Ovis aries: one gene and its partners. The protein of the gene in region 4 purifies or fractionates together with the protein of the main gene of each other region. This does not show direct contact. Links are inferred from orthologs where the notes say so. Each region holds a gene or a part of one and is shown on either strand. Other genes may lie near its edges. The genes, in order: HDAC4, SEPTIN9, FASN, HIF1A, CTNNB1, LAMP2 and YAP1.

Evidence for each region.
Region 1: the proteins of HIF1A (region 4) and HDAC4 purify together in Homo sapiens (affinity purification with western blotting; 4 studies listed by BioGRID and IntAct, with this or other methods). This does not show direct contact. The link is inferred for Ovis aries from reciprocal best matches to the Homo sapiens genes HIF1A and HDAC4.
Region 2: the proteins of HIF1A (region 4) and SEPTIN9 purify together in Homo sapiens (affinity purification with western blotting; 4 studies listed by BioGRID and IntAct, with this or other methods). This does not show direct contact. The link is inferred for Ovis aries from reciprocal best matches to the Homo sapiens genes HIF1A and SEPTIN9.
Region 3: the proteins of HIF1A (region 4) and FASN purify together in Homo sapiens (affinity purification with western blotting; 3 studies listed by BioGRID and IntAct, with this or other methods). This does not show direct contact. The link is inferred for Ovis aries from reciprocal best matches to the Homo sapiens genes HIF1A and FASN.
Region 5: the proteins of HIF1A (region 4) and CTNNB1 purify together in Homo sapiens (affinity purification with western blotting; 7 studies listed by BioGRID and IntAct, with this or other methods). This does not show direct contact. The link is inferred for Ovis aries from reciprocal best matches to the Homo sapiens genes HIF1A and CTNNB1.
Region 6: the proteins of HIF1A (region 4) and LAMP2 purify together in Homo sapiens (affinity purification with western blotting; 3 studies listed by BioGRID). This does not show direct contact. The link is inferred for Ovis aries from reciprocal best matches to the Homo sapiens genes HIF1A and LAMP2.
Region 7: the proteins of HIF1A (region 4) and YAP1 purify together in Homo sapiens (affinity purification with western blotting; 3 studies listed by BioGRID and IntAct, with this or other methods). This does not show direct contact. The link is inferred for Ovis aries from reciprocal best matches to the Homo sapiens genes HIF1A and YAP1.

The regions. Positions count from the first base shown.
Region 1 is NC_056054.1:2,119,283-2,123,738, reverse strand, and holds the start of HDAC4 (histone deacetylase 4), read right to left. Parts: upstream 2,889-4,456; 5' UTR 2,726-2,888; intron 1-2,725. UniProt on the Homo sapiens protein: Responsible for the deacetylation of lysine residues on the N-terminal part of the core histones (H2A, H2B, H3 and H4).
Region 2 is NC_056064.1:53,912,038-53,916,043, reverse strand, and holds part of SEPTIN9 (septin-9), read left to right. Parts: intron 1-96; coding exon 97-738; intron 739-4,006.
Region 3 is NC_056064.1:50,275,925-50,280,638, reverse strand, and holds the start of FASN (fatty acid synthase), read right to left. Parts: upstream 3,221-4,714; 5' UTR 3,130-3,220; intron 1,278-3,129; 5' UTR 1,267-1,277; coding exon 1,140-1,266; intron 378-1,139; coding exon 225-377; intron 1-224. UniProt on the Homo sapiens protein: Fatty acid synthetase is a multifunctional enzyme that catalyzes the de novo biosynthesis of long-chain saturated fatty acids starting from acetyl-CoA and malonyl-CoA in the presence of NADPH.
Region 4 is NC_056060.1:71,938,298-71,942,303, forward strand, and holds part of HIF1A (hypoxia-inducible factor 1-alpha), read left to right. Parts: intron 1-437; coding exon 438-550; intron 551-1,116; coding exon 1,117-1,319; intron 1,320-4,006.
Region 5 is NC_056072.1:13,821,462-13,826,127, reverse strand, and holds the start of CTNNB1 (catenin beta-1), read right to left. Parts: upstream 3,249-4,666; 5' UTR 3,083-3,248; intron 2,615-3,082; exon of another isoform or gene 2,525-2,614; intron 1-2,524. UniProt on the Homo sapiens protein: Key downstream component of the canonical Wnt signaling pathway.
Region 6 is NC_056080.1:104,773,925-104,777,930, forward strand, and holds part of LAMP2 (lysosome-associated membrane glycoprotein 2), read right to left. Parts: intron 1,260-4,006; coding exon 1,196-1,259; intron 763-1,195; coding exon 598-762; intron 1-597. UniProt on the Homo sapiens protein: Lysosomal membrane glycoprotein which plays an important role in lysosome biogenesis, lysosomal pH regulation and autophagy.
Region 7 is NC_056068.1:6,217,352-6,221,357, reverse strand, and holds part of YAP1 (transcriptional coactivator YAP1), read left to right. Parts: intron 1-1,928; coding exon 1,929-2,122; intron 2,123-4,006. UniProt on the Homo sapiens protein: Transcriptional regulator with dual roles as a coactivator and corepressor. Critical downstream regulatory target in the Hippo signaling pathway, crucial for organ size control and tumor suppression by restricting proliferation and promoting apoptosis.

The DNA of each region.
Region 1 (4,456 bases), on a different chromosome or scaffold from region 4:
ACACTGCAACGTATCCCGACTGACCGTCTGAGACTCAAACCAAGCCCCCTCCAGACTGGCTCCCCAGTCCCCACCCCAGAACCAGCAAGGGCCGCAACCGCTGGGGCAGAACTTGCCCTCCGGCTAGAACAGCGGGGACAAGGGCTGAGCCTCGCAGGCCACAGAGCGAGGCGGCTTCCGCGGAGGCGGGGCTAACGCGGATCGGCAGCTGATTCCCAGCAGGGATTTCGGGTCCAGGGGCCGTCATCCCGCCACCCCAGCAGAGCCGTAGCCCGCTCTCTGCATCTCCCCTACTCCCTCCATCAGGTACCAATCTATAGCTCAGGCAGCTTCTGAGCAATGAAAGCCCAGCCGTTTTCAATAGAGAACGGTAGGGACGGATTCTCCAGAAGTGATGAAATGTTTCTTCTGCTCTGGCAATTAAGACGGCACAAAGTCGCCTTTCCTCCGGTGCCACCCCCAACATCAAAGGATGAGAATTCAAAGCCATTCATGCTGCATTGAAACCTCACAATGCAGCTGGAAAATGGAAGTCGATTACTGGACATAAATATGCAGTAGTTAAAAGCAAAGAGTTAGAACGAAATTCAACTGCAGCAACCCAAAGACGTGCGGAAACTTCCAGAACTGGAGTCCTCCTGGTAAACACGAGGGGCATCCTTAGAAAGCACGCTTCTGGCCACTGAGCCAAGCTCGGTGCTCTGGACCCACGTGGCCCAGGGGCCATGTTGTTCTGCCCATCTTGCTACAGTAACGGCCCCCAAGGCCTCCGAGAACATGGCATTTAGAGATTTTTCTTTCTCATGGCTGTGAAGCTGCTGACCACAGAACATTCTCTCTTGGCTCAGGGCTGCTGAGGCCACATCTGTCCTTGGTCCCCAGGCCCCGCGGGCCTCCGCCCCCGCACACACCCCCAGCCCAGGGCTCTCCCAGGGGCGCTCCTGCCGCCAGTTCCGATCACAGGAGAGAGAAGTAACCCTAAAGAGGGCAGTGTTACATCTGCCTGCCGCATAAACCGTGCTTCTTTTCTGATTGATTACTGCTCTCTTTAGGAAGGTATTTGATCTTTAAAATAAAAGCCCAGAACACAGAAAGCTATACAAGTCTAACAATGTGTCAGGGTGTGTGTTTTTAAGGCAGGAAAATACTTCCCTCCCACACAAATGTGAGTTCTGGGGGAGATGCCACGGAGCCCAGGGAACAGAATATCTGGGAAAGCTTGCTGGGTCTTAAAAATAGATGATTGAACACAGATTTGAGAATGCTCAGGAGCTACCTGAAAAAGAAAATTAAATCTCACATATTTTTGATATCCAAACTCCATTCTGATGAAACTTCTAAGAGGGTGGCATTTTGCATTTCCAATTATAATAGAGTAATTGTGTTGCCATAGTGACCGCAAAATTCTGCAATAACTTTTGTTGCTTTGTAACTGCTGTAGTGTATATTTGTGTACAAGCAGCTGAGTTTTCTTAATTCAATCCCTCTCCCTCCCCCTGCCTGTCCCCCTCCGCCAGTCACCACCACCACCTTCCCTGGCTCAACCCAAAGAAAATTATCAAAAGCAACTAAAACTCCAGGCCACAGACGATCACGGTACAAAAGAAAAAGTGAAACCAGGCCAAGGTGCAGACCCACCAGTATTACCCCAGTCTTGCTAGGCTGGCGCTGGGCGAGGGCTGTTTACATGTTTACTCCCAGGCCTCCCCGGCTTAGGCGGTTTGTGGGAATAAACAGAAAAGCCTGAGCGGAGGGAAGAGGGGAAGGAAAGTAACTCCACAGGCCCCTTCCCTCCCTCGCCCAGGGCAGGCAGAGAGCTGCTGCAAGCAATTAGGTAGGTCTCTACAGTAATGCAATTAGGATTTAGTTAAGAAAGTCATTAGTTTTAAAATAACTTGAGCTTAATTTCTGCAACACTTTATTTGAAAATTGTGTCACAGCAGGTCAATTTACAACATGCAATAAAGAAAACACGCGTATCAGCTGCTGCAAGTTATTACAAATTTCTGATGTGCATTAAATGAGTACACTGGGTTCCACCCCCGGCCTTTCCGACTGATACGCACGATCTCCTGCTATAACAGTGTCAAATAATTCAACGCTCAATGTAAATACGAGATAATTTGCTTCGGATGCCACGGTGGGAGCTTGCGATGCCGCCAAGCGCGGCTCCCGTCACCTGGGCAGGACGGGGCCCAGGGCTCGGCCTGCCCGCACCCCTCGGGTCGCGGGCGCCCCACCCCTGCCGTTCCGGTCCGGGGCACACACACCCGGCGACGGCGCACCCCCGCCCGCCCGCCCGCCCGCCAGCCCCGGGAGGGACGTTTTTCTGCAAACTCACAGCCTCGACAAAGTTACATAAACGGCGCCCGCCGGGGCTCGGGAGCCCCCCGGCCCACCTGCCGAGGGCTCGGCCTGGACGGGACCGGGCGCCCCGGGGAGGCCCGCCGGCCGTCCTGCGCCCCCGCCCCGCGGGCGGCCCCCGCCGGGCCGGGGGGCTGCAGCGGGGAAGGTCCGGGACGGGCTCCGGCTCCGCTCCGGACGCCCGCGGGGCCGCGCGGCCTGGGCGCGCGGGGCCGGGCCGGGGCCAGGCCGGCGGGCGGGCGGACCCCCGGCGTCCACCTGCCGGGCCGGGCGGCGGGGGCGTGGAGGCGGGCGGGCGGGCGGCCTGCGGGCGGGCGGGGGGCGGACAATGGCCCGCGGGCCGGGCCGGGGCAGCGCTTACCGCGGCGGCGGCGGCGGCGGGCGCTCCGAGCCGCATCTTCTCAGCCTGCGCCGCCACCACCACCACCACCACCGCCGGCGGCGGGCGGGCGGGCGGGAGGGAGCTCGGGCGGCGGCGACGGCGGGGACGCGGCCGCGGCGCGCCGGGCCCAGGCGGCTGAGGCGGCGGCGCGGGCGGGCGGGCGGGCGCGCGGGCTCGGGCGCGGCGGCGGCGGCGGCGGGGACGGTGCTCCGCAAGCGGCGGCCCCACAACCTCCCCTCCTCATTCACAAAAAATTGACCCACGTTGAACCATGATGCCGCTCCCCCCCTCCGGCACCGAGGCGAGCGCTGATAGGCCAGCCCCGACGCCTGTCAGCGGCCCCGGCCCCGCCCTCCCGCCGTCGGCCCTGCGGCTATTGGCTGCACCAGCCTTGCATCACCTCCCCTCGCGGGTCCCTCCCTCCCGCCCGGTTTCTAATGAAGAGCTCGTCAATTACGGCTCGGCCCCGCCCTCTGCCCGCCCTCCCCGGGCGCCCGGCGGCCCTCCCATTGGCCCACTGGGGGGGTCGCGGGAACAGCCCCGCTTGGTCCCGCCCATCGGCCCCGCGGCCTCCAACTCGCCAGGCCCAACGCCCTCCGAACGCCAGGGATGCTCCACCCCCGCCCGCCTCCTGGTCCCCATTGGCTGCCGAAGCTGCCAATCCCAGGGGCGGGGCTATCAGAGGACGCTATAGGCGCCAGCTGGTGGACGCCTGATGGTTGGGAAAGTGTTGGGAGTCCAGGCGCGTGGTGACTGTCAACACGGGCCGTGGCCCCGGAAAGCCTCGTTCGCCGCCCCCAGAGAGCTGCGCCGCGGGGCCCAGCAGTGAGGGCCGGACGGGCCGCTCTCCTGGCGAGGGGAGGCTGAGGCGCGGGCTGAAGAGGGGAGCCGGTGAGGCCCGGCCGCGGCCGCCATCTTGGGTACGGGCAGCGATCACGTGGTGCGGCCTGCTCCCGGCGACGCAGGGGCGGTGCGAAGGCCGAGTGCGCAGGCGCGGAGGGCCCCGCCCTGCCCCGCGGCGGGAACGCGGCCTTGGGGGCGCGGGGCCGGGCCGGCCGGCCTTCCCGGCGGGCGCGGGGCGAGCGCAGTGCGCCTGCGCCGGCGGAGGGCCAGGGGATGCGCGAGCGCTCTCCGAGTCTGGTCCGAGTTCCCCGGTCCCGGGCGGAGGCCGCAGAGACGGCTTCCCACCCACTTTCCGGTCGTTCCGGGCTCGCATGCACCTTGGGCGGGGGTCCGGGCCAATCCGTTCACCCCGAGTGCTCAGAGTCCGGGCTGTGCCTTGCGGAGGCCTTCAGAGACTCCCCTTGGGTCGCACCCCAGGGGGGCGTGATGGGGTCTGCGGCGAGGTCGGAGCTGTGAAGCCCACTGGGCAGCCCATCCCGAATGTCACACCTGCGTGGGGACAGCCCTGCCGGCGTAGGGAGGTGCTCCTGCGAAGGATGGAGCCTCCAGAGAAGAACACCTAGAACAGTGACGTTCAAACTGTAGCCCTTTCGGAACTGTTTTATTAAAAAAAAAAAAAAAAAAAAAAACCGCTTGCTGTAGTAAAAATGCTGCCTGGGAGCTCTCTGGTTCTAGAATGACTTCGGTTCCATGAAACTTGATTCCCTGCAAGAGACTTTCAGGATATGTCACACCAAACATAGTGACCCGTGCTCAAAAAACTTTTGAGATTGAACAGCCAAATGTTGTTAGATAACAGTGTTGTGT
Region 2 (4,006 bases), on a different chromosome or scaffold from region 4:
CCCCGCCGGCTGCCTTCCCATGTTAACCACTAGCAGGATGTTTGCAGGCGTTCCCTAGCCGTCTGCTCATCACCTTCTCCTCGCTTTATCTTCCAGCCTTGAAAAGATCTTTTGAGGTCGAGGAGGTCGAGACGCCCAACTCCACCCCACCCCGGAGGGTCCAGACGCCGCTGCTCCGATCCTCGGTGGCCAGCTCCACACAGAAATTCCAGGACCTGGGTGTGAAGAACTCAGAGCCTGCAGCCCGCCATGTAGACTCCCTGAGCCAGCGATCCCCCAAGGCCGCCCTGCGGAGGGTCGAGCTCTCCGGGCCCAAGGCCGAGCCCGTGTCTCGGCGCACCGAGATCTCCATCGACATCTCGTCCAAGCAGGTAGAGAACGCCGGCACCGCCGGGCCATCCCGGTTCGGGCTCAAGCGGGCCGAGGCCCTGGGCCACAAGACGCCGGAGCCCGCCCCCCGGAGGACGGAGATCACCATAGTCAAGCCCCAGGAGTCAGGCCACCGGAGGATGGAGACCCCCGCCTCTAAGATGCCCGAGGTGCCCACTGCCCCTGCTGCTGACACAGCCCCCAAGAGGGTCGAGATCCAGGTGCCCAAGCCAGCCGAGGGGCCCGCCTCCCCCATCCCACCCCAGACCCTGGAGAATTCAGAACTCGCCCCGATGTCTCAGCTGCAGAGCAGGCTGGATCCCAAGCCCCAGCCCCCCGTGGCCGAGATCCCACCCAAGAGCCAGGAGGGTGAGTAGCAAGGTGCCAGTCGCCTGTGCTGTGATGACTTGGGGAGTGGGGAGCTGGCTTTGCCTTGGAATCTTGGAGAAAGAAGCTGAACATTGAGTTGAGGGGTGGCTTATACTTCTGAAATCTCAGGGGCAGGGACTGGGGGGCTCTTTCTGTCCCATAGTGGACCACAATGCAGCAAGTTGGATTTCAGTTAGACTCTGCAAAGAATCTCTGGGTTGTGAGGGTCCCCCTTTAATTGGTCAACAGGGTCGTGGTGTAACCATGGCTGCGACCCCAGGATGTAGGGGCAGGAACCGGGACAGGCTCGTGCTGGGGCGGGATGGCTGTGAGACCCCAGGACAGGCTCTCTCAGTCCTGGTGGGTGGTGGTCTCTGGGCCTTGGAGAGGCAGGCTCGGCTTCTAGAAGGGTGACATGTGCCCTGCAGGTGCCCCCAGGGCAGAGGCTGCGGGAGGTGGGAGGGGGCGGTTCCTGCCCTGGAGGGTCTTCCTCCCAAAGGAGGGAGGGTTGTGCCCAGACACGAAGAGGGCATGACAGCACCTCATGTCTGCATGCTAGGGTTTTCAGGGCTGCCAGGAGGGGTCCCAGGCCAGGGAGCCCCGTGATTCCTGCCCACGACTCTGTTCAGGGCTCTTCTGCTGGCTAGGGGGCGATTGAGGGCATGCTACTGTCCTTGGAGGGTCCAGACCCAGACTTGTGCTCACAGGGAGCTCACAGGGGACGTGATGCTGTCCCATGAAACACCATTGCTGCCCCCTGCCCTACAATGAGGGTCTTGGCTCCACAGGCTATGTTAAGGTGCCGGCTGAGCTGTGAGCCTGATGGAAGCTGGGTCCGGTTGTAATCCTGGGCCTCCGAGCTCAGTAAATGTTCAATAAGTGTCCCTTGGGTTGGACAGGCAGAACATTATGGGTTTTTGATTAACCTTTTAAAAATTGTTTTCATGGTGGTAAAACACGTATAATATTGACCATTGTAGCCGTGTTTAAGTGTACAGTTCATGCATATTAACACATCGTATTGCTGTGCAACCATCTCCACAACTTTTTCATCTTCCCGACTGAATCTCCGGCCCCATTACCTTCCCCCAACCCCCAGCCCTTGGCGCCCACCTTCCCACTTTCTGTCTCTATAAGTTTGACTACTCTGGGTCCTTCCTGTAGGTGGAATCCTGAATATTTGTCCTTCTGGGTCTGGTTTATTTCACTTTGCACGTCTTCAGAGTTCATCCATGTTGCACCAAGTATCAGAATTTCCTTCCCTTTCTAAGGCTGAATAATATTCCATTGTATGCATAGACCACACTGCGTAGCCATCCATTGGTTTTGTTTTTTTTTTGGTAGGTCCTCGATACATATTTATTGTTTTGAAAATTCCTTTGAAAGCCTATTTCTTATTTTTCCTTTTTAAATTCTTTTAATTGAAGGATAATTGCTTTACAGAATTTTGTTGTTTTCTATCAAACCTCAACATGAATCAGCCAAAGGTATACATATATCCCCTCCCTTTTGAACCTCCCTCCCAGCTTCCTCCCCGTCCCACCCCTCTAGGTTGATACAGAGCCCCTGTTTGAGTTTCTTGAGCCATACAGCAAATTCCTGTTGGTGACCTCTTTTACATATGGGGATGCGAGTTTCCATGTTACTCTTCCTATACATCTCACCCTCCCCTCCCCTCTCCCCATGCACATTCCCTATGTCTGTTTCTCCATTGCTGCCCTGTAAATAAATTCTTCAGTACCATTGTTCTAGATTCCGTGTATGTGCGTTAGAATACGATATTTATCTTTCTCTTTCTGACTCAGTTCACTCTGTGTAATAGGTTCTAGGTTCATCCACTTCATCAGAATTGACTCAAATGAGTTCCTGTTTGTTGCTAAATAATATTCCATTGTGTATATGTACCAAACTTCTTTATCCATTCAGTCAATGGACGTCTAGGTTGCTTCCATGTTCTAGCTGTTATAAATAGCGCTGCAGTGAACAGTGGGATACATGTGTCTCTTTCAGCTTTGGTTTCATCAGGGTATGTGCCTAGGAGTGGGATTGCTGGGTCATATCGTGGTTTTATTCCTAGTATTTTAAGGAATCTCCATACCATCTTCCATAGTGGCTGTATCAATTTACATCCCCACCAACAGTGCAAGAGTGTTCCCTTTTCTCCACACCCTCTCCAGCATTTATTGTTTGTAGACTTTTTGATGAGGGTCATTCTGATCAATATGAGGTGATATCTCATTGTGGTTTTGATTTGCATTTCTCTAATAATGAGCGATGTTGAGCATCTTTTCATGTGTTTGTTAGCCATCTGTATGTCTTCTTTGGAGAAATGTCTGTTTAGGTCTTTTTCGCACTTTTTGATTGAGTTGTTTGTTTTTCTGACATTGAATTGTGTGAGCTGCTTGTATATTTCGGAAATTAATCCTTTGTCAGTTGTTTCATTTGCTATTATTTTCTCGCTTTCTGAGGGTTGTCTTTTCACCTTGCTTGGTTTCCTTTGCTGTGCTGCAAAAGCTTTTAAGTTTAATCAGGTCCTATTTGTTTACTTTTGTTTTTATTTCCGTTACTCTGGGAGGTGAGTCATAGAGGATATTGCTTTGATTTATCATTGAGTGTTCTGCCTATATTTTTCTGTCAGAGTTTTATAGTTTCTGGCCTTACATTTAGGTCTTTAACCCATTTTGAGTTTATCTGTGTGTATGGTGTTAGGAAGTGTTCTAATTTCATTCTTTTACATGTAGCTGTCCAGTTTTCCCAGCACCATTTATTGAAGAGACTGTCTTTGCCCCATTGTATATTCTTGCCCCTTTTGTCAAAAATAAGGTACCCATAGGTGCAGGGGTTTATTTCTGGGCTTTCTATCTGTTCCATTGGTCTATATTTCTATTTTTGTGCCAGTACCATACTGTCTTGATGACAGTAGCTTTGTAGTGTAATCTGAAGTCAGGAAGATTGATTCCTCCAGCTCGATTCTTCTTTCTCAAGACTGCTTTGGCTATTTGGCGTCTTTTGTGTTTTCATATGAGTTGTGAATTTTTTTGTTCTAGTTCTGTGGAAAATGCCATTGGTAATTTGATTATCCATCCATTGTTGATGGACACCTGTGTCCTAGTACTGCTTGGCTGTTGTGAGAAAAGCTACTGTGAACTTGGGTGTACAGATATCTCTAGTTTCTGCTCTAAGTTCTTTCTTTAAAAAACAAAAACAAAAACCACAATATATTTATTTGGCTGCCCCAGGTGTTAGTTGCAGCATGTGGAAACTAGTT
Region 3 (4,714 bases), on a different chromosome or scaffold from region 4:
TCCAGGATACCTCTGGTGTGCAGTTGTGAAACCTGAGTTGCCTGAGGCCCACACCTCCCCACCCCGTTGGCCCCAGCCCGGGACTCCGCTCCCTCCTCAGTACCGTCCATTTTGGATGTTTTGTTATGAATACACGATGCTTTTTAGAAGCAAAAAGGGAGGTTTTCAAGAAGGGCAGCAGGAAACTCAGGGACAGGTGCTCTGCAGCCCCCCAGATGGCCCACCTGCATCCACAATGGCCTCGTAGGTGACCTCCAGCAGCAAGCGGAGCTGGGGGTCCATATTGTGCGCCTGCTTGGGGTGGACACCGAAGAAGGAAGCGTCAAACCGGGACAGGTCCTTCAGCTTGCCTGACCGCCGAGGCAGGCCATATAGTCCTAGGGAACACACACAGGTGGAGAAATCAGTCATAGGACATCATGGCCCCGAGTGATTGATTGCGGGGGAGTCCCTGCTGCAACAGAGAGCTGAAGCTCCCTGGGATGGGTGGGCCCACTTCTGAGAGGGGCCCTGGGGCAGGGGGAACCTCATGGGTGATGGCCCCAGAGCAGAGCACTGTAGGGGGCAGCGCTGCCTCCTCCCACCTCCCGCTGTCCTGACCTGGCTGGAGACCTTCTGCCTGGCCCCATCCCAGCCTGGCAGCTAAGGCCAGCCAGGCTCTGCCACACTGACTCACACCCTGTAGATCAGGTGGAGCCACTCTGCGGGAGAACCTACTGGGCGTGAGGGAGTCAAACCAGCTTCCCGGGGGAGCCTGATGTCTTATCTGACCGCCTGGGACAGCACGTGGGCGGGCAGTGGCTGGCCGGAGGTGTTCACCCACCTGGCCTTGCCCTGGCTCCACCCCCAAGCAATGCTCCTGGTCTGTGAAAGGGACAAAGGCTATGCCCAGGGAACTCCAGACTCCCACAGTACCTAGCCCACTGGCCAGAGGTCCCAGGTTCCCCTAGCCCAGAGCCTTCTGGTACCGTCTCCAGAAAGAGGCTATAACATGGCCTCACCTTAGGTGACCGTTGGCTCTGCCACTGGGACCAGAGTGCCGGCCAAAACAGGCCTGCCTGGTAACCCGGGAGAGTGCGTCCACAGAAGCGGTGAGAAAAGAACCTCTCAAGTAGGCGGGGAGCCCCAGGCCCACTTACCCGCCTTCCACCGCCTGTCATCATCTGTCACCATGTCCACGCCGCCAATGAGATTGGCCCAAAACTCCTCCAGGTTCTCCGACTCGGGCAGCTTCCCGGACATGCCAGCGATCACCACCTCCTCCATGGCTGCTCTCTCTGCAAGGAGGGTGGCGTGGGGGCCCGGACACTGGTCAGCCTGCGCCCGGGCACTGCCAGTCCACAGCCTCGCTGGAGACCCAGCTGCTTCCCAACCCTGGCTTCCTGATCCCCCTCCTCCATCTGGCCCACCCAAGGGTCTGAGAACAGCAGCTCAGAAAGCCCTGCAACAAAGATCCACATGGCCGGCTCTGGGGCTGTGCCCCTGCTGGGACGCTGTGTGTGCACGTGTGTGAAGTGCATGTATGGTGGTTGGGAAAGGGGAGTCCACTCTGGTCCAGCCTGCTGACACCGCGCACTGGGCTCTCTGGGCACTGGCCTTGGCCTGGGGTGACCCCACCACTGCCCTGCTGCAGGAGACTCAGGAGGGGCCCCATAGTGGAAGGCAGGGCCCAAACCCTTCTGAGGAAAGGACTGCCTGGCTGCCATCCTGTTAAGAGGTGGCCCAGGGAATTTAGTAGGCGAAGGAGAAAGGGCAAATATGGGGGTGGGAAGAAGTGCCCACACTGACTAGTTGGTTCTGCGCTCAGCATCCTGAGCTGCCCTCCAGGCAGGAACCACAGCTTGGGCTCAACAGTGCCAAGACCTGGAGGGGCTCTGGGGAAAAATTGGTCCCTGTCTCACAGTGGGCAGCCCCAGCCTGTATGGCCCCTCCAGCAGGCTCCAACCTGGAGAACCACTCTCGGTCAGCTGCCAGGCAAGCACTACCCAGACCCACACATCTGCACAGGTCGAGGCCTCAGGGCCGCGCTTGCCTACTTCCTGATCCAGCAGCCTGCCTGTCCACCCAGACCCAGGTCTCCCAGCACCAACGAGGGAACTTAGTCTACCCTGAGCCTGTGGGCCCAGGGCTCCTGTGCAGTCCCTGAGGAAGGGGGCAAGGCCAAGGTTGGTCCTGCAAACTTCCACCAAGGCTCCAGGGCCTTATGGCGCCGATTTAGGGTTTCTCTGAGCATGGGAAAGTAGGAGTGGAGAGCGTCTTCCTTGGGTGGCCTGATCGCCCTGGCGTCCCGGCAGAGGGAGCCCCCTCCCCCAGCGCTGAATAAAGAGCCCTTTGCCGGCCCAGAAGCACCAGCTCCCGGGGCGGCTGCTTCTCCAGAAAGCGCCCGCTCTGTTCTCCCCCTACTTGCTATTCACGCGGAGTCCGGCAGGACGAAGCAAAAGGGTGGAGACCCCTGCGGCGCTGGCGAAACCGCGCGCGCCGCCGCGAGGTTGTACCCGCCAGGAGTGGCTCTCCCCCCGGAACTTTGGGGGCTCCAAACGGAGCCCACGTGGTGGAGAAGCCGTCCTTATACGGCCCTGCGCCTCCTCCATCCACGTCCTTCCCCTCTTCTCAGGCCCTCCGGTCGGCCGAGACGGCTATCCTGCACCCGAAGGCAGCGGGATGCCGCGGGTGGAGGGGCTCGGCGGCCAAGCCGGAAAAGGAGGCCCTCCAGGGCGTGGCGGCTGGGGGCTCCAACAGGCCCTCGAGGGTCTGCAGCCTCCCGGCCCAGCCCAAGACCAAAATGGCTGTTCGCGGCGTTCCCGGGCGTCCGCCCCTCGCCATCTGCCCACCTGCCCCGCCGGGCTTAGGCACGGCGCGAGGGCCCTTCGCCGCCTAGCCTCGGGGGTCTCGTGGGACTCGAACATACAGACCGGAGGCTCGGACCCCGAGACCAGGGCAGGCTGTGCGAGATGAGCCCTCACCATCAGCGCGCCGGACCATGCGCACCCAAGGCCAGAGGATGCGGGCCGGCGGCGCCCCCTCGAGCCCGGCCGCCTTGCTCCCGCCCCAGCCCCTGATCCAGTCTGGCCCCAGGACCGGGTTCCCAACTCACAACTTCCAACCCCGGCCCGGCCTGGCCGCTTGTACCTGGTATGGGCGCGGGCGGCTCTGCGAACGGCTGAAGGAGAGCGAGGATGGAGCGCGCGGTGGTGGGGAGGCCGCTACTGTCTCTCTGGCTCCCTCTAGGCCCGCGCCGGCGCTATTTAACCGCGGCCATCCCCGTGCGGACACGCCACATGGGCTGACAGCTTGGCTGCGCCGCCCAGGCCAATGAGCGTCGGGGCTGCGCCCCGGGACCAGGCGCGCCGCCGCCAGTGGGGTGATGCGGCGCGCCGCCGCCGGGAGCCGGGACCCTGCGCGGGGGCGCGCCCGGGTGGCGCCGGGTTGGGGGCCCCGGACTCGGGGGGCTCCGGGGCGGGGCACGGTGTCACCCCCGCCCCCCAACTTCCGTTCCGTGCTCCACGCCTCCCGGGGCCGCCCCCACCCCCGGGACCGCGGGGGCCACGTGTGCACGGCGCGCGGTGGAAACGGAACGGGCGTACTTCGGTCACTCTGAGGGTCATACTAGGGCAACACGGGGGGCTAGACGGACCCCCAGGCGTACGAATTGACCAGCCCGCGTCCGGGCTGCGTGGGGCCGGGCCGGGGGCGTGGCTCTCTCTGCAGCCACAGCCAATTGGGGGCCGGGGGCGTGCGCGCTGGCCCAATGGCGCCCCTCGAGTGGGCGTTGCTAGGTGATAGGGTGATGGGCCGGGCTGCCCCAGGAGCTGCGCGGGCCGCAACGGAGCGAGCGCGGTCATTGACCCGGCCGAGGGTGCCCTGTGCGGGGTTACTGTCGGTCACTGCAGCACAGCGCCTCCGGTCCTCCCTGCCTCGCCGCCGAAATTCGCGGGGCGAGTGCGGGAACGCGGGGGAAGCTCCGAGGCCTGCAGGGGCCTTCCGCAGATGGCCGTGGGGACGGGGCGCGGCCATCTGGCGAGCGGGCTATGCACGGACACCTCTTGGTGTGGTCTGAACAAAGGAGTCTCCCTGGGCAGAGGCACTCGCGCGCGCACGTGGCCACTTTCACCCACCGGCACGCACACGAACCAATGGAAGTGCGTTCTCTCCTCGCCCGCACACCCTCCTTCTGTAATTCCCGTGCTCAAACGTTTATCGATTTTATACACACACACACACAAATCCTTGACTTTCCAGACTGAAAACAAACAAGACAACACGGATCGGGAATCACGAGCCCGGGAAGGACGGCCTGGTGGCCACGCCCTGCACGGTCCTTACTATCTCCTGGGACCACTGATAGACCCTTGTGAGGTCAGAAAAGCCCTGGCAGAGGTGCCTGGCCGATTTCTCTTGTAATCAAACGCTGCTGCTCTCCTCCCCTGTCTCGGAAACTGAAGACTGTGGAGCATGGCACTGGCCACAGATGTTCTGGGCAGGACAGAAGGGGACTGCCCCGCCAAACCAGGTAACTTGGATTCAGGTGCCCCTCCCTCAAACCCTACAGTGCTCCAGTGGCAGCTCATCCCTCCTCCTCTTGTCTTCCTCTTGGCGTCATCACTGGGGACTTCTGGTTTGCACTTTTGGTTTGAAAGAAAGAGCAACCCGAAAAAAAAAAAAAAGAAAGAGCAAGACAGGAAAAAAGGAGAGAGGGCAGGGATATCCCGCAGCT
Region 4 (4,006 bases):
TTTGAAAAGTTCTATAAATATACAGAATGTTTGTTATAAGTTGAGCTAACACATTTGGAGGAGTTTGCTTAAGTTCTTTTTTGGCGGGGGTGGGGGAGGTGTGCTTTATACACTGATAACACAGTTAGGGAGCAAATTCATACTGTGTTTATATTTCTTTGTAATCTGACCAACTCTATTGGCTTGAATGTGAAATGATTAAGTGTTATTCTCATCGCACCATCTCAGGGAATCACTGCTATTGTGAACCCGTTACTTACTACAAGTGTGTTAAATCCCTTGGATATATTGGAGTGAGCAAAGCAGGTGTGAAGCATTGTTCTCATATTGAGACTTTCCATTGAATAGCACCTAGGTACTGGGCACTGTGCTACTTCTTCTGTAACACATTTGTATATTTAATTATGTTTTTAAACTTTATTTCATGTTTTCATTAGGCCTTGTAAAAAAGGGTAAAGAGCAAAATACACAGCGGAGCTTTTTTCTCAGAATGAAGTGTACCCTAACTAGCCGGGGGAGAACTATGAACATAAAATCTGCAACATGGAAAGTAAGTATAAAAATTATCTGTGACTACAGCTGATTCCTAGATAAATTAATGCATCTTCACATTACTAGTAGTAAGACAACATTAGAACTGTGAGGGAAAACTTATTGTTCCTTTGTGTTTATAGATTTGATATCCAAAAAGTTTAGTAATTCATCAGTTAAGAGGCATGAACTTAAGTTATGTGGACATTCAGCTTTGCCAGCCACCCAGTGTTTGAATCTTGCTAACATTAATATTTTATTCATTGTTGTATCATTTCTTTGCTCAGTTTTGAAACATCGTCATCAGAGCAAGAAATAACCATCAAACAGGTATAGTGGCCAGATAAAAACAAGCTCAGATTTGTACGAAGGGAAATTTTTTCAAAGACTAATCTTATGGTACCTGAAGAGTAGGTCATGGGTGGTAGTGTAGAGAAAACACTGATTTTCAAAAATATAGTGATCTACTAATGATAGTAAATTTTATCAAAGCTTACTTGCCATGTTAGACTCAACTGTCTCTGCATTTTGTTTTTTACTAGCATAAGTTTTTTAAAAAACTGTTTTGTTTTTCTTCATACTCAGGTACTTCACTGCACAGGCCATATTCATGTATACGATACCAACAGTAACCAATCTCAGTGTGGGTATAAGAAACCACCGATGACATGCTTGGTGCTGATTTGTGAACCCATTCCTCATCCATCAAATATTGAAATTCCTTTAGACAGCAAGACTTTTCTCAGTCGTCACAGTCTGGATATGAAATTTTCTTATTGTGATGAAAGGTAAGTGAAATAAAATATAACTTGAAATTTTTAATTAGTCCACAGAATTGTTTTAACTGTTGACTACAGTAAAGACTGAAAGCTGAAAGAAAAATAGACCTCTTTAATAAATCTAGTTCTCTAGCTGTGGTGTGCAGGCTTCCTTCCACTTAAATTGAGTACAATTATACATCCTAGAATATAGTAAGATTAACTTTACAGATTAATTCAACCACATTTATTGAACATTTACTGTGTACTTACTGTAGCAGGTGCTATCCAGTGATTATTAAGATGAGGTTTTTTTTTTCCTTTAGGTGTTCTAATTTATTTAAAGAAAAAAATATATTTCAGAGACATACAATACATAATTTGAGGAAGGATTACTTCTGGTTGTGGACTAGAAAGGAAAGCCTTTGGTTGTCTCTTCATCCTACGTATTTTTCCTGAGCAGCTTTATCCTTGCTGATGGTGCTGTTTTGCAGATTTCTATCCATATCTATTTCCATTTAATTGCCAATTTGATATTTTTATCTAGATACATATTCTTCTGTATTATAAACTAAATATTTCCATACCTGATTGAACCACTCCTATCCCAAAACAACTTCAGAAACAAGTTTTTCCTCTTACAGTACCTATCATGATTAATATACCAGTGAACACATATAACTCCAGCAAAAATTGGAAAGTCATCCTTAACTTTTCTTTTGCTCACTGATCTACATTCTGTTTCAAAATCTTAATAGATTTACTATGTGTGTCTCCTCCATTCCCTCCTTCCACTTGCTTTCGTGCCGTTGAGTTCTTCAGCTCATTATTACCTTTGGCTTGAACTGTTGCCATTAAAGTCTCCTAACTGCATCTCTGCCAACAGATTTGTGCCCTTTTAGTCTCATCCAGGTTTCCAAGAAGTGAACTTCCTAATGTGAAAATCAGATCATGTCTTGTAAAAATGCCTCATTGCTTCCCTTCATCTTCACACACAAACTTTTGTTTATAAAAAATATTAGAAGGGTGGGAGATTTTTATTTATCAAAAGAAGACATGCATTTTGAAAATCTGAAAGAAAAATAGACCTCTTTAATAAATCTAAACTTCTTAGCATGGCAAGGAAAGATATTTATGATCTGGCCCCTGGTGACTTCTACCCCATTTTTTTTGTTGTTGTTGTTGTTGAGATTTTATTTTTGACCGTGCTAGGCCTTTGTTGTGGTGCACGGCCTTCTCTCGTTGTGGTGTGCAGGCTCAGTTACCCTGTGGCATGTGGGATGTGACCAGGGATCAAACCCATGTCCCCTGCTTTGGATGGTGAATTCTTTACCATTGGACCACCACGGACATTCCTGATTTTCCCAAATTAATCAGGAGGATGGGAAGACCCTTCTGATGTGGCCCTTAATACCCTACTTCCAGAGAACTCCACATGCTATTTTGTTGTCTTAGTACAGTGATAGTTTTCTTAACTCCAAACACAAACTTAGCTTCTAAGAGTCACTCACCGCATCTACTTGTAGAGCTTTCCTTGTTTCTTTAAAAAGCTACTGTTCCTTATATGTGGTCTGTCATAGCCTTTTTTTCTGTTTTGAAATTATTTGCTTGCTTGTCCCATTTTTTACTGTAAAACTGTAACATACTGGCTGAAGGCATAGGTTTTGTAACCAGACTACTAAATGCTGACTTTGCTGCCTATATCCAGATGATCTTAGACACATTTCTACTTTGCTTTGAGCATCAGTTTGTCACAGTATAATACATGTATTTGTATTATTTTAAAATTGAACGTTATACGAGAAAATTGATCTTAAGCCCTATCCTACTGGACGGGAAAAGTGAGAAAGCACTGGCTTTGGAATCACATCATTCTTGATTCAATCTTGGCTTGTGGTCCTGGTACTTATAGTGTGGCCTGGGTGTTAGAACTTAGCTGTTCTAAATCTCATCTTCCTTATCTGTTAAATAAGGGCCATGCTTCAAAAGGCTGTGGTAAGGATTATGAGAGTTTGTTGAGAGCCTAGTGCACATAGTGACTGCTTTACCACTGGGGTTAACTTGAAGAAACAAAGACAGAAATGCCAAGAGATATTTTATCGTGTTTGGTGCCAGTATTTATATCAATGCATGATAGAACAGATATGCCAATCCTTCTTTAGGAACTATTTTTACGTTTTTGAACTCAGTATATAAAGTATAGGGGTGGGTTGGGAAGAAAGGAAAGTGATGGAGTTAGAATTATAATGAAAGGGAGTGACATTGTCCTTCTGATTATATCAGAAAGTTATCCAAATGGTTGTGATAGAGAGCTAAAAGCAGCCTGCTTAGAGACCAACCAAGTAAGATTTTGAGTCTGACCAGGAGATAGATGTTTTCTGGTTACTCCTTCTAGAACTTCTCACAGTTATACCCGTTAAGAACCAACATGGGAAAAATTTTGGAAAAATTTGCCTTCTAGAACTTCTCACAGCTATACCCATTAAGAACCAATGTAGAAAAAATTTTGCTCAGTATTGAGGAATTCTAACATATCAGACTTCTTACATCCAAAATATCCCACAAATGACTATTATTTATTGTCCTAATTTCCACTTGTAATCATTCAAACATTTGAGTAGCTACTGTTTGTGGCACAATGATGTAGTGAGGTTCAGTTCAGTCTCTCAGTCGTGTCTGACTCTTTGTGACCCCATGAATCGCAGCACGCCAGGCCT
Region 5 (4,666 bases), on a different chromosome or scaffold from region 4:
CAAGGTAACTCCTACTCATTTTCAAGCAATACAAATCACATATTTTCCTTTCCTGGAACTTACAAAGTATATCTTTATTTTAGCCCATTAGCCTAGTTATCTATCAAGACACAATTAGAACAGTATTACATAAACAATAATCTGTTAAAAGAATGAAGACTGATTTTGCAACTCAGTTTTCTCTCAGTGAGGGTCCAAGAGGCAAAAGATACAAGCTCTGGAGTAACCAGAAGTAGCTACTAGTCTGTTTTACTACTTACTTTTAAGATATAAAAATGCTTTTACTCAAACTGTTTCAACAAAAGATACTCTATTCCCAACAAAAAGAGAGCTACAAGAATACAAAATACAACTAAGTCAATACAACTAGTGTTTTCACAACCAAAGTCACAAGTCAACATGCAGCACGAAAGAGCTGTTATACTTTTTATTACAAGTTTGTCCTGCTCTAAAAGTATTCATCCTTTCTGCCCTGGGCTGGCAATCAAGCATGCTTCCAACCAAGCTCAAAGTACATACTTAAAATTTACCACCTACTCCTCTGCAGTTATTATCAGCAACTAGTAAACCATAAAAGAGAAACAAAATCTCATTATAACTGGATGCTGTATTGTTTCATTTCAGTAACACAAAAGTTTCATTTGGCTAAAGATACTACAAACAACCTATCTCTGGGATTTTAATTTCACTGCTAAAGTATAAAAGAGTGAGATTCAAATTTTTGAATTCTCCACGTCCCTAGTTTCAACAATACTTATGCTCTTCCTTCCACTCCTTCCAACAATGAAACAGGCTGTGTGCATATAGCTTTCCCAAGAACCAAATCTCAAAACACTCTTAGAGAAATCAGCCTACTTCAAGTTTTCTCTTCCTATTTGGGGAGTGGAGGAGGGAAGTGTGTATGAAAAGAAAAATATACAACTTCATTTATATGGATAATTTTATTCCATTTATCATTAGCAACAGTAAGAAGCTCAATCTGATTTCAGTTTTAATATTGGAATCTACATAATCATCTACACGATTATCTTGGTAAAGGATATGTTTCGAAAGAAAAATGCTGGACACTGACACTTGAACACTACTAAATGTTTTACTTTTTTTAAGTCACCTTTTAAAATTTGGTTTTTCTTGAAAGCAATTTTAAATGGCTGCTCTAGCTTCTGGGAAAATCTCAAGCCTAGAACTCCTCAAGGACTCTAAGTTACATGCTATACTAAACTTTGTAGCACAGTTTTTTAATTTCCCCCTCAAGGACTTCAGACTTGAATAGCCTCAGCATTCCTTTAATCCTATAGAATAGGCTCCTGGAAGTTTTTCAAGTTACTGTTGCAATCACTTTAGGGCCTTGTACATGGCCTTCAGAACAAAGACTAGGTCAAAGTAATGAATACTGGACGCAAATTAATCAAATTTCGTGAAAAGATATTCGCAAACATTAATGGCACCTTTTTTTAAACTCAAGAGGTTCGTGCGCTTGAATGTAAAAATAAAATAAATGTAGCAGCCGCCTTAGTTCAGACCGAAAAAAATGCCTCCCAAACAAGTTTGTCACTAATCTAAGCAGATATTAAACAGAAACATTAACAAACAAAAGAGTCAAGCTATGTCCAGTATCTCTTAAGGAAACACGTTAACAGGAAGATAGCCGAAGGTACTGAATGTACACCAAGAGACAGAATGAAACGGCTTCCCAAGTTCCAGACAAAATACTTACAACTTAGCCATCTGAAAAACAGCAGCCCAGACTTTATCAAAGGCGAGCCGTCTCTTCAAGCTGCTGTCTAGTCTAAGCCACCACTATTCACGACACAAAGCTCTCGTTTCACTAAAACCACTCCTCGATTTCCTTTTGCCGACCTCTGCATACCAGCAGACCAGTCTCCCTTCATTCACCACTCACAAACCCGGAGTGGGGGTGGGGGGAGACCACAGATGTCTGGAAGATACAAAGTAGGAGACAATGCTCCCTCCACCACCGAAAAGAAAACGAAGCAAACAACTACACCCGACTGGCAAAGCTTTCAAGTTTAGTAGACTCAGAAGGAGGCTGTGAAAAGCGAACTTTGAAAGTCTCAGTTCCAAGTCCTCTCTCCAGACAAAACACGGAACGAAGTTGCAAAGCTTGAATTTCCTGCGGGCCATTTCGTAGCGAGGGGAAAATTCACCCCGCTGGAAAGCGCTCTCAAAATCAAGTTTAGTTGCCGTGAAACTATTTGAATAAAGAATCTCCAGGAACACACAATTCTCGAAGCAGTCGCAATCTGAGTCCTGTGGGTCACTTGCTAAGAGACAGTAAGCCAGACGCCCTCGCCCTTATTTTTCCCAGGACCTCCCTAGCACGCCCGCTTTCACTCACCTGCACCGTACAAAAAAATGTAGGTGCAAGATAGGGATTTTTATCTGTGCAAATCCTCCTGGCGCATCACACCGTCTGCACTAACAGTTTGGATCCTCTAAGGTTTAAAGTTGCTCCGATTTAAACGAGCGTACTCACACCGGCAGGCCATTAAAAATCACTAACCTCTTATTAACCCTCGAAAAAATTCGTCCTTAAGCACGAAAGATAGGACCTCACGTGGCGTCCCAGGCCCAGCGCCCGCACCCCAACTCCCCGCGGAGGCCGGGAAGGCGGAGTCCCCCGTCCCCACCCCGCCCCCCACCCCGGCCCCGGCGCATCCCGAGGCGCAGGGTCCCTCCCCCAAACTCAGCCGCGGCCTGAGCCCGGGACGGAAACCACAGCCCCCTCCACCCACCCGCCCACCCCGCTGGCCACCCGACCTCCCGGACGCGCCCTCGCGGCGCCCCCTCCCCGAAAGCGGCACCCCCGGGGCTCCCGAAGGAGCCGCGCGACCGGAACCGGGCCCGGCCGCCGCCCTCAGCCCCCCGGGCGCGGTCCGCCTCTGCCGCCTCCCCGGCGCCCCCAGCCCACACGCCCCTCCCCGCTCCCCACCCCGGGGCCTCGGGCTGCGCCGGGTCCGGCTCCCAGCCGCCGCCGGGACCGCGCGCCCGCGACGAAGTTTGGCTCCGAAGCGGGAAGGGGAGCAGCCCCAGACGGGTAAGGAAAGGAGCGCCCAAGCACCTCAGGGGAACAGGCTCCTCCCGCAGCGGGAGTCCGACCGTCCTCGGCCTGCGTTGGCGGCTCGACGGGGACCGGAGCTGCTCCTCGGACCTTGCTCCGTCTCCGCCTCCCCTCTCTCTTCGCTCCCGGGGCCGGGCTAGCGCGGCTGCCACAGACCGAGAGGCTTAAAATGGCGCCGCACAAGGAGCTCTTATAAGTCGCGCAGGATTCACTGTATCCTGCCGCCAGCGGCGCAGCGCGGAGCGTTCCGCCGCGCGGGGACAAGGGGCGGGGCGCGGGCGGGCGGCGGAAAGTAGTCCCCGCGCCGCGGAGCCGCCCGCCGCCGCCGCCGCCGCCGCCGCGGTCCGCCAGCCCGGGGCAGGGGCGGGGCGCCCGCGCGCTCTGCGGGCGCTCTCCCAGGTTGAGGCCGGCGCTGCCCCGCCGCGCGGGACTGGAGGGCGGCCCGCCAGGGCGCGGTAGTCCGAGTCAGGGAGGCGCGGGTCTCCGCGAGCCGGGGTGGGCTGGAGGGAGGGCGACACCGGTATTCTCCACTGTCCCGAGCCCGACGCCCCGGCCTCGCGCATGCCCCGGGCCATGAGAACAGATGCGAGGCTGGCTGCGCGCTGCCGGCTACCGGCGGGAGGCGGCATCGGGACCCCGGCCCTGCGGGGCAGGCGGCACACGTCCCTGGGGGGTGAAAGTTCAGGGCCGAGGTGGCGGCGGCAATGCCGGAGCTGAGGTCTGGGCCCACCCGCTCTGGACTCTGCCGGACGCCGCCGCCGCCCTGCTCCCGGTCAGGGGACCCCGGCGCGTTCGTGCTTCCGCTGCCGTTGCAGTCTGGGCCCCAAGCTCTCTGCAGGACTTGGCTCGCAGCCAAGCCGCACATCACCTCAGAGCCCCCCACGGTCCAGGTCGTGGATCTCGCATCCCTACCGGCTGTTCATCTTGAATCTGGGAATGAAGCACCCGGCCGAGCCGCCGGCTTTCCCCGCTCGTGAAGGCTGCGAACTCTCGTTAGGATAGGCGCCTAGCCCGCAATTCAACAAGTCCTTAGGAGTCCCTAACTGAACAAATGACTGATAGACATGGACTAGCTCCACAGCCCTGCCAATTAGGTTAATTCTTACAGTTTCCATTTTTAACTGGTTCCACTTTGCTACTAAGTATCAGTATATTGGGGGTGGTGGTGGATTTTTCTTTCATTCTAAGTTTATTTCTAGGGTATTACTTCTTTGAGAAATCCAAGTTCGTTGTTCATGGAAAGAGCTATCCATTAAGCAGCTTCTAATTTTTTAAAACTCATTTTCTATTCTTCAAAAAAATTTTTTAATTCGTTTGAATAGGCTGAAGTTGGGTCTTGTTTTCCCTTGGAAATGTCTCCATTGTAATCAGCAGGTTTGGTGTTTGTCAAAGCTGAAACAATTATGATCGATTCACTTTCTCTAGTCTATTGTTGGATGCTTATTTTTCCTCCAAAACAATGGAGAGAGTACAAAAAGCAACAGTGAAAGTTATCTTGAGGCTTTTATCTTTGTAATTAATGCATGCAAACAATAGGTCTTTATACATAGGTACGGCAGGAAACCCTCTCATTCAATTGTGGAG
Region 6 (4,006 bases), on a different chromosome or scaffold from region 4:
CGAGAAGATGGCCCCAAGAAGACAGTCAAGATGCTCAAAAACCGCTGCTCTCCAGTGCCACCCTTCCCACAAATGACAACCCATGGAGGAGTGTCTGCATCTTATGTTCAGTTCAGTCGCTCAGTCGTGTCTGACTCTTTGCGACCCCATGAATCGCAGCACGCCAGGTTTCCCTGACCATCACCAACTCCCAGAGTTCACTCAAACTCATGTCCATCGAGTCGGTGATGCCATCCAGCCATCTCATCCTCTGTCGTCCCCTTCTCCTCCTGCCCCCAATCCCTCCCAGCATCAGAGTCTTTTCCAATGAGTCAACTCTTTGCTGAGGTAGCCAAAGTATGTAAAGCTCACTTAAAGGACCTATCAGTTTTTAGCCTTAAGAACTTTGCTGCAAATGATTTTGAGATTACAAAACACACTTAATTTGAGCAAAATGATTAGCTAATACAGTCACACCACTTTCTCAGGGCTATAAGAGTCGAGAGGTGAATTCCTATTTCTCTATTCCAGGGCTTAAATTTCCACGACTCAAAAGAAAAGCCACCTAGCAGTCAACCTATGAGCATAAATTATTAATAAAACTTGCTTGATTCTTACCAGTAGAATACTTTCCTTCTGTCACACTGAAAGGCTGAACCCTTAGATCAAAGGTATTTATCTGAAGTGCTCCAGACACGGAAACGGTCTGCTCTTTGTTGCACATATAAGAACTTCCCAGGGGAGCATCCCAGTAGCTGAGATTGGTATTTGAAATGCTGTAAACTTTAAAGGAAAAAAAAAATGTTAGTAACTTCTTATCCTGTCAATATTTTTTAAAAAGGGAGGAGGGGGAAGACAATCCTGAGGAATTTTCTGTGAAATACAGGAGAGCTCAGGGTACAGGGTCTGCCCACAAAAAGCCATTCTTAAGATCACTAACTAGGTTCCCTATCTCTTTGGATGTTGCAACAGTCTAAAACCCAGTCACATTCTTTAACTATTACTTACTATGCTTTGAAAATACAAGATCTTGCAAAAGATGAAACCGGTTCTAAGTTATGGTCAAAGCCCAATTTTAACACAGAATCTTCTGTTCCATTAAATAACGCACTTGTCATTAAATTATCTTGTTATTTGGTAACAAGATAAGTATGGTTTGTATTCTTTCAGTGAAACCTATACTCCTCCCCACCTCCCAGGCCAATGTTTTGCTTACCAGAGCCATTAACCAAAATCACGCTGACATTCACCTCCTTCAGATAGAATCGGTTTTCATTTTTCTGTGTGAAAAAAAGCATCCAGTTAGTCAATGCATCACAGCTGTTTACAGACACAGTTAACATCTATGGAAGGAGAGCAATCTAATACTATTACCCAGAAGATCCAACCATGGATTAGACCTGGCCCAGGAGCACAAATTGCAAATAAGTCAAGAGACTCAAAATGTGACTGATACCCTTTTACCTCTTCATTTTTGTTTCCAGCTTTGGGACCAGAGATGATGTGCTCACCTGGTTCCCAGACACTCAGCAATTCACTCCCTCCATTCTGATCTTTCTGTCACTTTCCAAGCCCTTACCACCTCTAGCCTGGATCACAACAGCCTCTTCACAGGGCTCCCTGCCTTTCTGCCTGTCCAGCTCTGTTTTTCCTCCAATGCTATTTTCTTTCTGAAGCATTAAGCTGATCAGAGGATCCTTCCAATTACTTCACCGCTTAGTATGTACAAGGTAACACATCTAAGTGTTCCAGGGAGCCAGCAAAATGGACACATTTGGATCCTGCCCCCATTGTGTTTACAATCTGCCAGAGAAGACAAATAAAAATAAATAACCACACTACAAAAAAAGTGATAAATTATGAATAAAAGGAGAGGAATTCCAACTAGGGAAGGAGCAAAGGCAACAGAAAGTTAGGGATGGGCTCTCTGAATGGGGTAGGATTCAATTAGGAAAGAAGCACAAACAAGTATTCAAGAAGGGAAGAGCCTGAATAAAGAAGTCAGAAATAAGCATCATCGCAAGCACACTGGCATCTGAAAACTTTAAGCACTGTTCCTAAAACTTTACCCAGGAGGCTTCATGGAAGAATTACAACACCCCATTTTGAGATGGGATAACTGATCCATGGAGGGTGTTGAGCAACTTCCGCAAGGCTACAGAGTTAGCTGGGATTTGACCCCAGGGAGTCTGGCTGTGGAGCCTGAGTGCTGTTTCCTCGGCCACTCTCCTACCACACTGGATGTGCACAGGGAACAGGGTGACGGAAGCATGAGCTTCACGACAAGGGAAAGAAGGAAACATAAAGCTGGATATGCAGGTTACTTTGCACAGCGGGGAGAGGAGGCTTGAACTACCCCAGGCATGGAATTTAGATGTTTTCTTGTTGGCAAAACAGAACTACTGCAGGTTTCTGAGAAAGAGCTGAGCTTCAAGAAGATTCAGCTGATGCCGAAGTACATTAGGGGAGGGGAGGAGAAGGGGGGGGTTGTTAGGAGGTGGTCTGAAACTAGATAGGAGGTAAGTGGTAATGGAGGCCGGAATCGGTAGGGAATGAAAACAAGGGGGCAGACTAAGAGAACTTCAGGAGAAAGCACACAGAAGTCTTGACAACGCCACCCCATCTCTCCTTGGTTCACCATTCAAGGCTCTCCACAATTTGTCCCAAACACTCTTCCAAACTTATGATTCACTAAACATGTTCCATGCCTCATTTTCCACCTGGTCTTGATTGTGTTCCTTTATCCAGGGATATTCTGTACTTTTTCACTTATTCCCCTTATACTCCATATGTACACATCTGGCCCATTCTTGAATGTCCAGCTTTAATGCCATCTCTTCTGTAAAACCCTCCTGACTCTCCTCCAGCCAGAATTAATGGCTCGTTCCTCTATACTTCCATTGTTGTGTTAGGGCGCTCAGTCATGTCTGACTCTTTGTGAGCCCATGGACTGTAGCTCGCCAGATTCCTGTCCATGGAACTCTCTAAGCAAGAATATTGGAAGCAGCCATTCCCTTCTCCAAGGGACCTTCCTGATCCAGGGATCGAACCTGGGACTCTTGTGTCTCCTGCAATAGCAGGCAGATTCTTTACCACTGAATCACCTGGGAAGCCCTCCTTTACTCCCATAGCACTTTGTACTTTCCTCTGGTCTAACACTCATCCCACTTTGAATGCACCTCCTACAGCACAGTTTACTTTTCCACAGAATCAAATCCAAAAGCCAGCAGGGCATTCAAGGCCTTCCATAAAAGTGGTGGTTATCTGTACACTGTTATCTTTATCACTTGGGGACTTTCCCAGTGGCTCAGTGGTAAAGAATCTGCCTGCCGACGCAGGAGATGCAGGCTCGATTCCTGAGTCAGGAAGATCCCCTGGAGAAGGAAACAGCAACTTGCTCCAGTTCTCTTGCCTGGAAAATTCCATGGACAGAGGAGACTGGTGGGCTACAGTCCATGGGGTCACAAAAGCTGGATGCAACTGAGTGCATGCACGCACACACCTTGACCAATAGATTATGGGCATCTTAAGAACACAGGCCTTCTTCTTTGTATCCCACCATAGCATCCTGTGGTGGTGTTGCTTAGTCGCCAGTTGTGTCCAACTCTTCGCGATCCTGTGGACTGCAGCATGTCAGGCCTCCCTGTCCCTCACCACCTCCTGGAGTTCCCCAAGTTCATGTCCACTGGAATGGTGATGCCATCCAGCCATCTCATCCTCTGACACCCTCTTTTCCTTTTGCCCTCAATCTTTCCCAGCATCAGGTCTTTTCCAATGGGGGAAAAAAAGACCCACATGCCTTGTCATGGCGAGTGGCTTGCGTAACTCAAGCTACAAGCTTTGCCGTGTAAGGCCATCCAAGACAGACGGGTCATAGGAGAGTTCTGACAAAATGTGATCCACTGGAGGAGCGAATGGCAAACCACCCCAGTATACTTGCCATTAGAACCTCATGAACAGTATAAAAAGCATCCTGTATATACACTGAATTCAATTATCCTGACAAGCAACTGTCATGATAGGATTG
Region 7 (4,006 bases), on a different chromosome or scaffold from region 4:
CCCCATGCCATCTGCCATGGCCAAAGTTTTTAAAAGTTAGAAGAAATACAGGAACAATAGAGGGGGAAAGTAAAAACAAAAATGTTGTGACTTTATATTAATATCTCAGTAGGTTGAATTGAACTAAGGCATTCTCGGAGAAGATTGGTCTGTAATTTTCCTTTTTTCTAATATCCTTGGTTTCAAATCAATGTTATACTGCCACATAGAAGAGTTGGTAGTCTATGGGGAAATTGGTAGGATTTCTGTATTGCCATATCTTTTAAAAAGTTAAATTTCTGCCTCAGTGCATAATGAAAGGGCTTAGAATCATTTCAGTGTTGTTTCCCCACACAGATTTTATGCCAAGTTGCTGGTCTAGGCACTAAGAATATATGTGCGGTTGGGATTCTGTCCCCGCTCCTGAGGCACGTGTTTGAGAGAAGATGTGTGTGCTCAGTCGCTTCAGTCGTGTCCAGCTGCTTGCGACCCTGTGGGCTGTAGCCCGCCAGGCTTCTGTCCACGGGATTCTCCAGACAAGAACACTGGAGTGGGTTGCCATTCCCTCCTCCAGGGCATCTTCCTGACCCAGGGACTGAACCCATGTCTCTTAGGTCTCCTGCATTGACAGGAGGGTTCTTTACCACTGGTGCCACCTGGGAAGAGAAGATATAAATTTGTAAATAAAAAATGACAGGTGAGAAATGTCAGTAGACAGAGTCCCAAGGCAGTGCCCTGGAAGAGGTTTGTTCAGGTGGCCTCCAAGAGCTGTACCTGTGGTCCAGCCGAGGACATGTGAAGATCATCACAAGGAGTTTGCTTTGTGGCCAGGGTCTAGTAAGTCATGAGCACCACCAGTGAATCATTTCAGATTTTGGTAGCAAGGTTGATGAGAGAGAGCCATCTATGATTTTTCTTTGTTTTAGTGTCTTCGTAAGGTATTAGGGATATGCTGGTCACAAAAGCGTGAAGTTTCCTTCTTTGCTGTTCTCTGCAAAAGGTTGTAAAAGATTAGTGTCATTTCTTCAAGTGTCATATGTATTAAACAGTGACCTGAAATGTCACCTTAAAAAGTTGAATAGATGTCTGAAAAGGTAATGTATCATTCTTATTGCCATTTTCACGTAATAAAACTTGCATCTGCTTACTGAGGCTAACACAATCCATAGTTTGATCAGTGTTTTATCAGTGACAGAAATTCACTATTATAAGAATCCAATCTAATTGTCAAATGGTGTATTACAGGTTCAACTCAAAAAGTAACTGACTACCTTGGCTGTGTGGGGGGTACAGTGGTGTTGAATGAGACCAATCTGTGCCGTCCAGATGTAGGCTTTATTTGGAGCATGCATCTAACCTACTTGATTTGTTAGTTAGCATTGTATTTAAAGATTAATAATGAACTTTACTGCTTAGATTGCTTTCTCTTAGTTAGTTTGAGGGATTTATTTTTAATTGGATATATATTTTATAATAAGCGGTGCATTCACATTATTCAAACTTGAAAAGTTACAAAAAATGTCTCTCTTGAACGTCAGTTCTTTAGTCACCCAGTTCCCCAGCTACAGAGCCAGCAGGTGTTGATTGCTTCTTATCTGTCCTTCGATTGAGATTCTCTGGATATGCATGTAATATATCAGTACAGCCCTCCTCTGCCTGTCCTGTTCTGTACTGTGCCTTTACCTTTGTGTGCCTTAGACTTCTCCGCGCCATTGCCTGTTAGAGCTGCTGCTTGTTTCTTTCATCTTAAGGCCGCATACTACACTAATGACAAGGATGTCTGTAATAATAAGAAACTGATGTACCCTTTGTACTATTGGTGGGTTTTTAGGTTATTTCTGATCTTACTACAGAAGAGGCTATGTTGAATGTCCCCATCATGCTTGTGAATAACAAAAAATCCTTTTTCTTGGCTAGTTTTTTAGAACAGATCTTCTGTTTCCTTGCAGCCATGAACCAGAGAATCAGTCAAAGTGCTCCAGTGAAACAGCCACCCCCGCTGGCCCCCCAGAGCCCACAGGGAGGAGTCCTGGGTGGTGGCAGTTCCAACCAGCAGCAACAGATGCGGCTGCAGCAGTTGCAGATGGAGAAAGAAAGACTGCGACTGAAGCAGCAAGAACTGCTTCGGCAGGTGAGGCCCCAGGTTAGAGACCAGCCTTCCACTCTTGGGGCTTTGTTTTCCTACGTGAAGCTGGGTGTGTTTCATTTTGGCATTTGTTGGTTACAGAGGAATGTTGTTTCTCCAAAACTAGAGTGACACAGAAACACTCTGTCCAGCTCTGTCCCTGTCTTAGTTTCTCTGCTGGCCTCTGAGCACGTGGGCTGTCACTTGTAAACCTGTGTCACACAGAGGCGTTTGGGCCATGTTCACTGCAGTCAAGCAGAAGGCAAAGGAAGCAAGGGTGCTTTTCCTCAAATATACAGGCATACCTCGGAGATATTGCCCATCAGTCCCAGACCACCACAGGAAAGCGAGTATTACAGGAAAGTGAATCACATGAATTCGGGGGTTTGCTGGTGCATATAGACGTTAATGTTTATACCATACTATAGTCTTAAGTGTGTAACAGCGTTATGTCTTAACAGTGAACATTTTTTAAAAGTACTTAACTGCTGAAAAAATGCTAGCCATCATCTGAGCTTCCAGTGAGTCATCTTTTTGCTGTAACATCACAGATCACTGTTATAAATAAAATAATAATGAAAAAGGCCAAAATATTGTGAGAATTACCAAAATATGACACCAAGGCGTGAAGTGAGCAATTGCTTTTAGAAAAATGGCTCTGATAGACTTGCTAGTCGCAGGGTTGCCACAAACGTTTGATGTGTTTTTAAAAAAAAAAATGCAGTGTCTGTGAAGTGCAATAAAACGAGGTATGTCTGTACAGGGAATTGCAGACTATTTAATATCTGAAGATTTCGCTAAGGAAGAAACTCTGGAACATCACTTGGGGAGAAACATCTTTTACTTTAAACAAATTATTTGTCTAGGAGAATATACCAGTATGATAATATACCAGTATGATACCTCTCAAATGACAGCTGTGTTTCACTATTGCTGAATCTAAGATGTGTTTTATTTAAAATGTAACACAGGCTATCCCAAGTTTAGAAGATCCCCAAGTGCCTTAAAATTACCTGCTTGTGGTTGTTTTTTCACGTTGGGAAGGGCAGATTCTAACATTAGAGAGCTGGAAACCTTTAGGGCCATTTCTGTCAGTTTTCTTTCAGAAATACTGGTTTTTCTGTGCCATATCATCTCAAATTTCAGAGTGACAAAAGCTAAAGTTTAGATTTTGGGGGTATGATCTTAGTATATTTTAAAATTTTTATATAAATATTTTGGGTAATAAAAACACAATGTGGTTTTGAAAGTGTACAAAGTGAAAATAAAATCTCCTTTTCCCATTTCTCTAGTTCTCTTTTCTGGATGTAAATAGCTAACCAGTTCTTATACTTGCCCTCACCCCCGCCCCAGACATTCTCTTTATTTACAAACATGGAATACAAGTGCCTCTACTACTGCCCCGCCCTAAATCATAGCATACTAAGAACAGGCATTAAAAATACCATTATAGGCTACATTTTTGTTGCCAGGATGTAGGCATTTGAACAAGGTACTGTTTTCTTCATGAGGGTTATATTTTGATAGTGTCACTTGAGTGTTAATGGAAATAGATGAACTTGATACAGTGATTGAACTCTGATTTGAGGTTTGAAGAACTGGTACCCAAGAATTAAACTGAGCCATGAGGACTCCAGGCCGCCATACTTGTAAACTGAGCTGTCAGTAACCTGCCACTATAATCTGGTGTGGTTGGCCCTAAAAGAAGAAGGAGAATGCCAGGATATGGTGTCATGAAGTGGTCTTGAAAGAAGTATTTCCTCATCTGCCTTTAAGAAAGTGGAAAAAGGAAGCACATTAACAAGTTTACTATACCTCTGACAGACTTTTAACATATTACTATAAAGGAAAGATATTTTTCATTTAAATAAAACTTTATCACCGGAACAAGGTAGCACCATC